Schizosaccharomyces pombe: one gene and its partner. Each later gene encodes a partner of the first gene's protein in a complex. Each region holds a gene or a part of one and is shown on either strand. Other genes may lie near its edges.

Evidence for each region.
Region 2: bos1 (region 1) and gos1 share a complex: the UniProt entries of both Schizosaccharomyces pombe proteins name them as parts of the SNARE complex.

What each region holds. Positions count from the first base shown.
Region 1 is NC_003424.3:1,923,160-1,927,357, forward strand, and holds bos1 (SNARE protein Bos1), read left to right. Parts: upstream 1-1,921; 5' UTR 1,922-1,942; coding exon 1,943-1,966; intron 1,967-2,007; exon of another isoform or gene 2,008-2,017; coding exon 2,018-2,114; exon of another isoform or gene 2,115-2,186; coding exon 2,187-2,773; 3' UTR 2,774-3,380; downstream 3,381-4,198. Other genes in the region: tos4 (transcription factor), read left to right, coding at 34-1,604; metallopeptidase Oma1, read left to right, coding at 3,580-4,198. UniProt on the Schizosaccharomyces pombe protein: SNARE required for targeting and fusion of ER-derived transport vesicles with the Golgi complex.
Region 2 is NC_003424.3:779,083-783,939, reverse strand, and holds gos1 (SNARE protein Gos1), read right to left. Parts: upstream 2,580-4,857; 5' UTR 2,454-2,579; coding exon 1,905-2,453; 3' UTR 1,799-1,904; coding exon of another isoform or gene 1,604-1,798; 3' UTR 1,503-1,603; coding exon of another isoform or gene 1,236-1,502; 3' UTR 1,138-1,235; coding exon of another isoform or gene 796-1,137; 3' UTR 521-795; downstream 1-520. Other genes in the region: atp10 (F1-F0 ATPase assembly protein), read left to right, coding at 796-1,137, 1,236-1,502, 1,604-1,798; SPOM_SPAC4G8.09 (leucine--tRNA (Leu) ligase), read right to left, coding at 2,784-4,857. UniProt on the Schizosaccharomyces pombe protein: Nonessential SNARE involved in retrograde transport within the Golgi complex.

The DNA of each region.
Region 1 (4,198 bases):
ACTTGAATCTAACTTTTACTAATATTAATTTAGGCCAATTCGTCCTCACGCCTGAGCCATCTAGTAATACATTCTATGCCCCCTCTTCGCCTGCTTCTGCAGTGAGAAGAGAGCCACTTTCTCCAATGTCTTTTGTACGGATGCGTTCACATCGCGTTAATAAAATTGGCCGTTCTAGTCAACAATGTGACCATGTCCTATCCACGGTTGATAAAGCAATTTCTCGTGTACATGCTATTGTAACTTGTACACAAGACCGCATGATTATTGAGTGCGTGGGTTGGAATGGGATGATTGTGTCTGATAAAATGAGGAAGTCAGTATTCCACATGAAGAAAAATGATCGGATTGTCCTGGTAAGACCGAATTCGGATGCTTGTCCTGTACTGGATGTATTCGGTTACCGAGTTCTTCTTGGTTGGCCAAGTGATTCTGAAGATGAATGGGAAGGAAATCTTAATGCTAAAAATTATGAAGAAAATCGTGAACCTATGTCTCCTTCACCTCAAGAAGCTTTACCTTTGATGCCTTCATCACCTCCTTCTCAAGACTATCAAAACGATCAGAATCATCTCATATTGTACACTAATTCCGAATCCATTCCTAAGCTAAACTTGCGTAGTAACGAATTAGTATATCCTCCTCCATCCAAAGATTTGTTACAAAAGCTTCTTGCCTTAGAAAAAGATGGTCAGGTGGAAAAGTCTGATTGTTCCAAAAATACACAATTAAAACCATCTTTTCTCCCAAAGAACACCGACGATTTACTCAATGGCACTGATGATAATAACATCGTTTTAAGAGAAGTTAAGGTTTCTTTTGAGAACGAAAAAATCGAGAGTGATGATCTTGATAAAAATGAGGAAATTAGTGAAGGTGAAGAATACACTCCAATTGAAGAGTCAAAAGAGCCTATAACAGTAAGACGGGATAGCGTTATACAAATTGATGAATCGTCCGCTGGACTAACGGACGTTATCTCTGAACTTAATTTTACAAACCATAATGATGACTCAAAGAATTCTAATATTACAACTTCAAATGATTCCCCAGTGAACGAAGTTGAGCCAATGGCTCCTGAATTGAGTTCAGCAGTTGTGGAAAAGAAGGAACCTGAAGACTACGAAAGCATCTCTGCTGTTGATGAGAACACTAATGACAGTAATGAATCCCTCCCTTCTAGCCATGATTACTCAGAATCAACAAAAGAAAATTCAGCTCCCGATAGCTTATTATTAGGATTGGTTTTAGATGAATTGGTTTTCTCAACAACTTCAACTACTCCCCTTCCTGCACTTTCGCATTTATTTCCTTCCAATATGCCACTTCAATTAATTCAGGACAAGCTTCGAGACTTGGCAGCCAAGCACCCCTACTTTGAAGAGGTTAAACGTTACGGAACTGATGCTAATGGTGATCCATTGTGGAGTGAATGGTTTTATAACCCAGATGTGGATGATGATTTAGAACGGCGTATGAGATATGCTCCATTAATGAGACCAGTAAGATCCTCACGTCGTGTACATAAACAATATTATTGGAAAAAGCCCCGAGCTCGTCCACGTTCATCGGGACATTCTTCTAGGCGTCGTCGTCTTTCATAACGAATTGAATGCTGGCATCAGACACGACCCCTATAAAATTTCGCTTTTTGATATTGTATACATTTCGTTATTACGAATGGAATTATTAGATTTTTCAAATGGGGTTCAACAAAATACAATTGAACTCAATAGTGATTTACATTTAATATGAATTTTGGGTAAAAAAACGCATTCTTTTTTATAAAACTGTATTTACAATGTATAGAAATAAATTGCTACTTTAAGCTATTTACAATTTTGATATAGCATTCAAGTAACGTGTTACTTGCTACATGTGTTGTCATATCAAAGACAAGAAAATAAATTACCCTCATATTGGAACCAACTACGGCAAGAGAATGAGCAATACTCTTTATAATCACGTATGTAACTTCCTAAAGTTTTAGAAAACATATTAATTTGTATTTCGCTAGTGTACAAAGTTGTTTCAGTCCATTCAGCGAAGCCTCGATGAGTTAGAACGTGGTGTTCAAGATGAGAGCAACACTATATCGTTAGCTGGAATTCAGGGTATGTGTAGATGAATAATTATGGTACTTATTTTAACCAAGTTATTCATGAGACTAATGCAAATCAATTTAGGCCAGATCTCAGCTTCATTTCTGTCATTATCCAGATCCATTGATGACTACGATAGTATGGTCCAAAGGGAATTGGTTCCCGCTAAAAAAAAAAAAGCTACAATACGAATCCAAGAGTTCCGTCAAAAGCATGTTCAGTTGTTGGAAAAATTTGATGAGTTGAAGGCACACGTTCGTGACATTGCGCAAGCAAAAAATAGAAAAGAATTGTTAGGGAGGCGTGGGTATGTGAACTCTCTTGATAGTCCCTACGGAAATTCAACAACGGATGCAGAAATTGTGGAAGGGCCATCAGATCTAAGCAGACAAGATGGTTTATTAAAGGAGCATGATTTCCTTGGTCGTGCAGAATCTCAAGTTGACGAATTTCTAGAACGTGGGCGGATGATTCTTGGTGATTTAGTTGAGCAGGGAAGCGTTTTAAAAGCTACTAAGACAAAAGTACTGAATGCCGCCAATACCCTTGGCATTACTCGCCATACTCTATCTTTAATCAACCGTAGGTCCAAACAAGACAAGATTATATTTTATTGTGGAGCATTCCTTGTATTTGTCCTCTTTTACTTGATTTACAGGTGGTTACGCTAACATGTTCATGTCGTTGGCTTGTTTAAATTTACTATTCTTATATGATATGGGGCAGTACAACAAAATCAAAGATGATTAAAAAATTTGAAGAGCTTCTTGAGAGTTAAATTTTTTATTAATTATTTTTAAAAATAAGCTATACATTTTGCACTTGTTAGCTTCTCCTTGCAAGCTATTACTGTTGTGTTTTTTTCCTTCTGTTTATGACATTCCACTAATCACGCACTTATGGGCCTTTTAAATCTAATTCTTTCTTTGTGTTTTTTTAAATCCTTAGTTTGTCAATCAATTAATACCGTTGCGGTAATGCTTGACTAAAACACCTTCTCTTCAGGCGGTTGCTTTGAAATGCTTCAATTGTGATTCCATTTCATTTTATTTTAATATCCAAGAGAAAATTAACTTACCAATGGGCAATAGTTTTTTTTCCTTAGTTTCTTCGTAATTTGCTCAGTTAAGCTATGTATTAAAAATAATAAAATAGACTAAAACTAATTGTCATCACGAACCGTTAGTTGACGACTGTTTTACACTATTTTTATTGTCAACCGTTTTCAATGCAACTTAAGAATTTGTCGAAAGCCAATTGAAATTTGTATTCATATATATTAATTTTGTACCATATATATTGTAATAACTGTATTGGATGAAGTTAACTTTTACTAAAGAAACTCGAGACACGTTTGTTAAAATTAATATCGTTAGCGATTATCCTTTCGTATACCATAATACACCAAACTATCCTCCATTCTCATCTTTTTAAATATCTAGCGCCAATATTTAGTAATTCCTATAAGAATTATTTAATGTTTTTAAATAAGTATATATCAAACTATTCCAGAACCAGGGCTGTGAGCTGCGCTCCAGTTCTATCATACAAGAAATGTAGTTATCGAAATTTCAATGGTTTATTACAGGCAAGATTTCAAAGCAACAACTTGAGTTGGTCCAATAGAAACAGAGTGGTATATAAATCATTTCAGCCCAATCCTAGAGACAAGAGGTTTCAATGGATTTTTGGTGCTCTTATTGCAGGAGGAGGTGTATACTATTTTACACATTTGGAATACGTTCCTATAAGTAACCGTCGAAGGTTTAATGATGTTTCTTTAGATTTTGAAAAGCGAATGGCACAAGACGCCTACAAAGAAGTAATGTCTGAGTACGGAGACCGTATGTTACCAAGTTACCATCCTACTACCCTTTATGTTTCACGTGTCCTTAAAAGAATTATAGCTGTTTCTGGTATGTCTGATTTGAAATGGGAGTTACATGTAATTCGAGACCCCACACCTAATGCGTTCGTCTTACCCGGAGGGAAGGTCTTTGTATTCGAAGGTATTCTCCCAATGTGTAAAGGAGAAGATGGTCTAGCTGCTGTCCTTGCCCATGAAACTGCACATCAGGTAGCCCGACATTCTGCAG
Region 2 (4,857 bases), 1.1 Mb from region 1:
CATAAGTGGTCAACCCCCCCACATAGTACTTGAGGTAGTAGACGAAGTCATAATTGCTATTCAAGTGAGTAATGTCTTAAAGAGAATATGGACCCCCCATTAGTACTTTCTAACCCACTTGGAAATTGAAATTGCTTTGATTTTTAAGCATTATGAATTAATATAATATTAATGCGTATTAGCTTATATAAACGATTACTAAATTATATTCTCATAGTTTTTCATGCATCTACATAAACAGTCGGCAGGGACGTAAAAAGCTACTCTTTTAACTATGATTTTGTATTGTAGTACATTAAGAAGGGTAAGTAAGGTCTTTATATTGTAATCTCTACGCCCTGGTTGACAGCTGTTTTAATAAGCTAGAATTTTTCGCTAAATGAGTTTGCTTTAAACATTGAATTAATTAGAAAGGTTTGTATTGTTCATTATCTCAGCATTCCATTTCCTATCCTTACATGCACGTTCAATGTAAGTTGAAAAGATAGTATTCAATGAAAGATTCGCAATCCAATGAAAAGCCAATTTTAGTCTTGAATTATATTACAATGAAATTAAAAGGAGAAAACCTTTATCGTAGATATATACTAATGTCCAAAAACAAATTAAAAAACCAAAATGAAAATTAAGATATGAATTTTTAACGTCAGAGTACTTCCACCTGTAACAACAGCTCCTTTCTGCTATACCTATCTATTGAAGTTTATAATAATAATTAAGTTCATCCTTGCGTTTCTTAAATCGCATAATAAATTAAAGATTATTTCCCCTTTAATCTACCTATAATTGGTAAACATGGCATATAATTATTTAAAAAATTTAGTCATTCCGAGGTTGATTGTTAAGCATCAGTTCAAGTTGCGTTCTTTTAGCACCAAAAGTCTCAATGATACAAAAGAAAAAGCCCCATCTGCTCTCATTCCAGTAGGTTTACTGGTAAAACCGACGATGCTTTCTGAAGTCCAAAAGCCAACATTATGGGAAAAACTTACCAAACCCGCGAGTACATCTTCTCCTGAGCAAAGACAGAAGGAGCTGCTGAATGAAATGAAGAGATCAACTATTCAAGATTTCAACGAAGTTCGTCGATTTAATGGTAAGCTGTTTTACAGTCCTCCAAGATTATTTAAGGAGAAGGTATGAACAATTGGTTAAAAGTAATATTCATTTCTGGAAATTTCAAATAAGAATGAAAAAAAATTAGTTTATTGCTTAAAAATATTGACACGTTTTAGAGCGCCTTATGGATGTACAACTTTCATGGGAAGTCATTACGAAATCAGTACAAAGAGCTATATAAAGATTGGCAAGGCTCGCCCTTTTTCTTTGCATTATTTAGCAACGCGTTTGGAGAAAACCAATGTAGGAATTGGATTCAACATCTAGCTCCATTTGATTATCTGCCAGTTCGTTATGCAAATGTTCAATCCAATCTAATAAAATATTGGCTACAGAAGATATTTATAGGAAAAGTTAAAAGATCAATACCAGAAAAGTGCTGGGTAAGTAGACGCATTATTTGTCCAAGCTGCTCACAAGTTTGTTCGCTTGATAAGATAGATTTATTTACTTCCAAAATTTATAACCTTTTGCTAACTAGCAGAATGAATATATTACAGCATACGACAATAAGTTCAGTTTCCCAGAAATAGGATGGAACAACAAACTTGTTGGAAATGTGTATTTAATTGACGATTCCTGCAAAATTCGCTGGCTTGGAACCGGTGATCCAACTAATGTCGAAATTGAAAACCTGAAGACAGCGATTAAGTTTTTGGTAAATAAAAACGTTGGTTAAAAGTAAAAGGACTTTTATATTATTTCATCTTAATTAAACCTTTATGACATATTCATAACTTTGGCGGGATCAATGCCCTTCATAAACGTTTCATAAAACATGCAACTTAATGAAAAAAAAGGAACAAAAGCATCAAGACAGATATGAGTAAAGCTAAAATGATAGAATCACGTCTTCGACGGATCGAGGTTTTCCTTAATATTTGATTAATAAAAGGGATTGACATGGCCGCCCCGTTTATGCGATTGGTCACATTTCCTAAGACGCTATTTTGGTAATCAAAGTCTTCCCTCGTAGCATAAGCTCTTTCAAGAAGCTCATTAGTGCCTCTAATAGAATTGTCTAAAGAGTTTGCCTCTTGCATTTCTAAAAAGTTTTGTGCATCTCGTAATTCTTCAGGAGATAGAACTTCCTGTTTCGCATCATATTTTTTCAAAACGCCATTAAGAAGTTGCTCATCTCGTTTTAGTCTTTCAAAATGTGATTTGATAGTAGCCATTGAATGCGAGTCATTTTCGTCAGCTGAAGAGTTGGCTTCTTCAAGAAGCTTCCTTCTTTCCTCTAGCAGAATTTTAGCTTGGTTAGGATCACTGTGCAACGATCTTTGGAACTGAGACGCTTTTTTCACCGAATCTCTCAAAAGCATAGACTTCATGGCTAAAGAGATCTTCAAATTTTTATAAGAGAAAAATTAGTAGCTTAAGTTATGATTTTAAAACAAACGTTTCTCTTCTGTTGATTAATGTGGCTTTCAGATGACGTTCTTACTAGTATGTAGTTTAGAGAAGTATCCCACTACGTAGAGATTCCTAAATATACCAGTGATAGAAAAGCTATGCTACTAGAAAACATTGTGATATTAAGATAGGATATTTTTCATTCAAAATGAATTTTAAGCATTAAATTAACTACGCAACCAACATTGCATTGTTATGGTAAATATCAAAATTATTTTGAAACATGAAGCTCGTGTCTCAACCAACTTTCAGTCGGTGACTAAACTGATGATTTTTTGTTTCACAAAAGATTTTAAAACTTTTTTATTAGAGAGCCAACGTTTCCCATCATTCGTCTCAAGCACAAAATTTAGTATTTCATTTTCATCATTGAGTTTGGGCATTTCAATCTTAAATCTCACCTTACCATTAATTTGGACAGGAATAGTAACGGGCTCCTCCATATTCTCCTTTTTATTTTTGGAAATGGGCCAGTTAGAGTAAACGGAAGAATTATGTCCTAGCAGCAACCAACACTCACTTGAAAAACAAGGTATTATTGGAGCAATACATTTCACAAGCACTTCCAAAGATGCTTTAATTGTTCCGATATTGACTTTGTTATTTTTTAAAGCATCTGCTATATTATTAGTCAATTTCATGGCGTCAGAAATTACTAAATTGAGAGAAAATACATTTTCATAATGAGCAGAACATTGTGAAATAAATTCATTATATTGTGATTCGAGTTTCCTGCTATTGTGATCGTCGACAATAGTTAACTTCGTTTGTCTCATCGCATCAGACATTTTTTTCTCACGTTCCAATAACTGATGAACACAATTCCATATTTTGGTTAACCACCGTTTTGTTCCCATTATTGCATTTTCATTCCAAAGGAGTACGCCTTCCACTGGAGCTGAAAATATTATGTAAGCTCTAATAATGTCTGAGCCATATTTTTGAATAGTACGTATCGGATCTACACCGTTATGCTTGCTTTTGCTCATTTTCTGGTAAGAAAGTTGAACTTTCTCTTTAGGATTACTGATTAGAAAATATTCGTCTCCAATTTTCTGGACTTCTTTTGGATTAAGTATTCGTTCATCCGACATCGTTGTATAAGTAAGACCATGAACCATCCCCTGAGTAATTAGTTGAGTAAATGGTTCATTTAAATATTTATCACCATTCCATAACCCAATATCCTTCATGAATTTTGAAAAAAACCTGGAATATAGAAGATGAAGTATTGAATGCTCAACGCCACCAATATAAATATCAACAGGCATCAAAGAGGACGCACTTGCTAAACCTACAGGAAGCTCCGAGTTTTTAGAATCCAAAAAACGAAAATAATACCATGATGAGTCTACAAATGTGTCCATAGTATCAGTTTCTCTTGTTGCTGGGCCATGACATTTCGGACAGGTTGTTTTCATCCATGTTTCTAGATTTGATAACGGCGAAGTACCTTTTTCATATATTTTATCAAGATCAGGCAACTTTACAGGAAGTTCAGATTCAGGGACTGGGACAGCACCACAGGTTTCGCAGTGAACCATTGGTATAGGAGTACCCCAAAATCTTTGTCTTGATATAAGCCAATCTTTGAGTCTATAATTTTTAACACGTTTGGCTAATTTCTTCTCTTCAAGGTAACTGACAATCTTTTGCTGAAGCATTTTTTGCTTGATATCCATTAAATTCGAAGAATCATGATGATTCAAAAGTTCTTTTCCCTCATTTGTAAAATATGAACCTATACAACTTTCTTTAGAAAATATTATGTTATTACGCTTAGCAAACTCAAAATCTCGGCGGTCGTGAATAGGTGCGCCCATAACGGCGCCAGTACCATAACAGTCCAAAACGTAAGGAGCATAAAATATTGGTAAAGCTTTGCCAGTTACTGGATTTTTTGCAAAGCACGGGAGCTGATATCCTTTGTCTAGTAAGGATTCATTGCGAAGATGTTCTGCCAACGAAGGATCCTTTTGGGATTCTAGTAAAACAAGTTTATGGTTTTTTGAAAGAGCTATAAAACTAACATCTATTATTGTTTCAGGTTTAGTAGTGAAAACTGTAAGAGTTTCTTTATCGTTTAGCAAAGGAAAAGATATTTCAAAACCCGTAGTTCGACCAATCCAATTGCGCTGCATCTTCTTTACTTTGTCAGGCCATTTTGGTAATGTTTCAAGGTCATCGAGCAGCTGATCTGAATAGTCTGAAATTTTTAGAAACCATTGTCGAAGATTTTTCTTTTCTACTATGGCACCGCTCCTCCAGGACCTCCCATGTGAATCAACTTGCTCGTTGGCAAGGACTGTGCAATCAACTGGA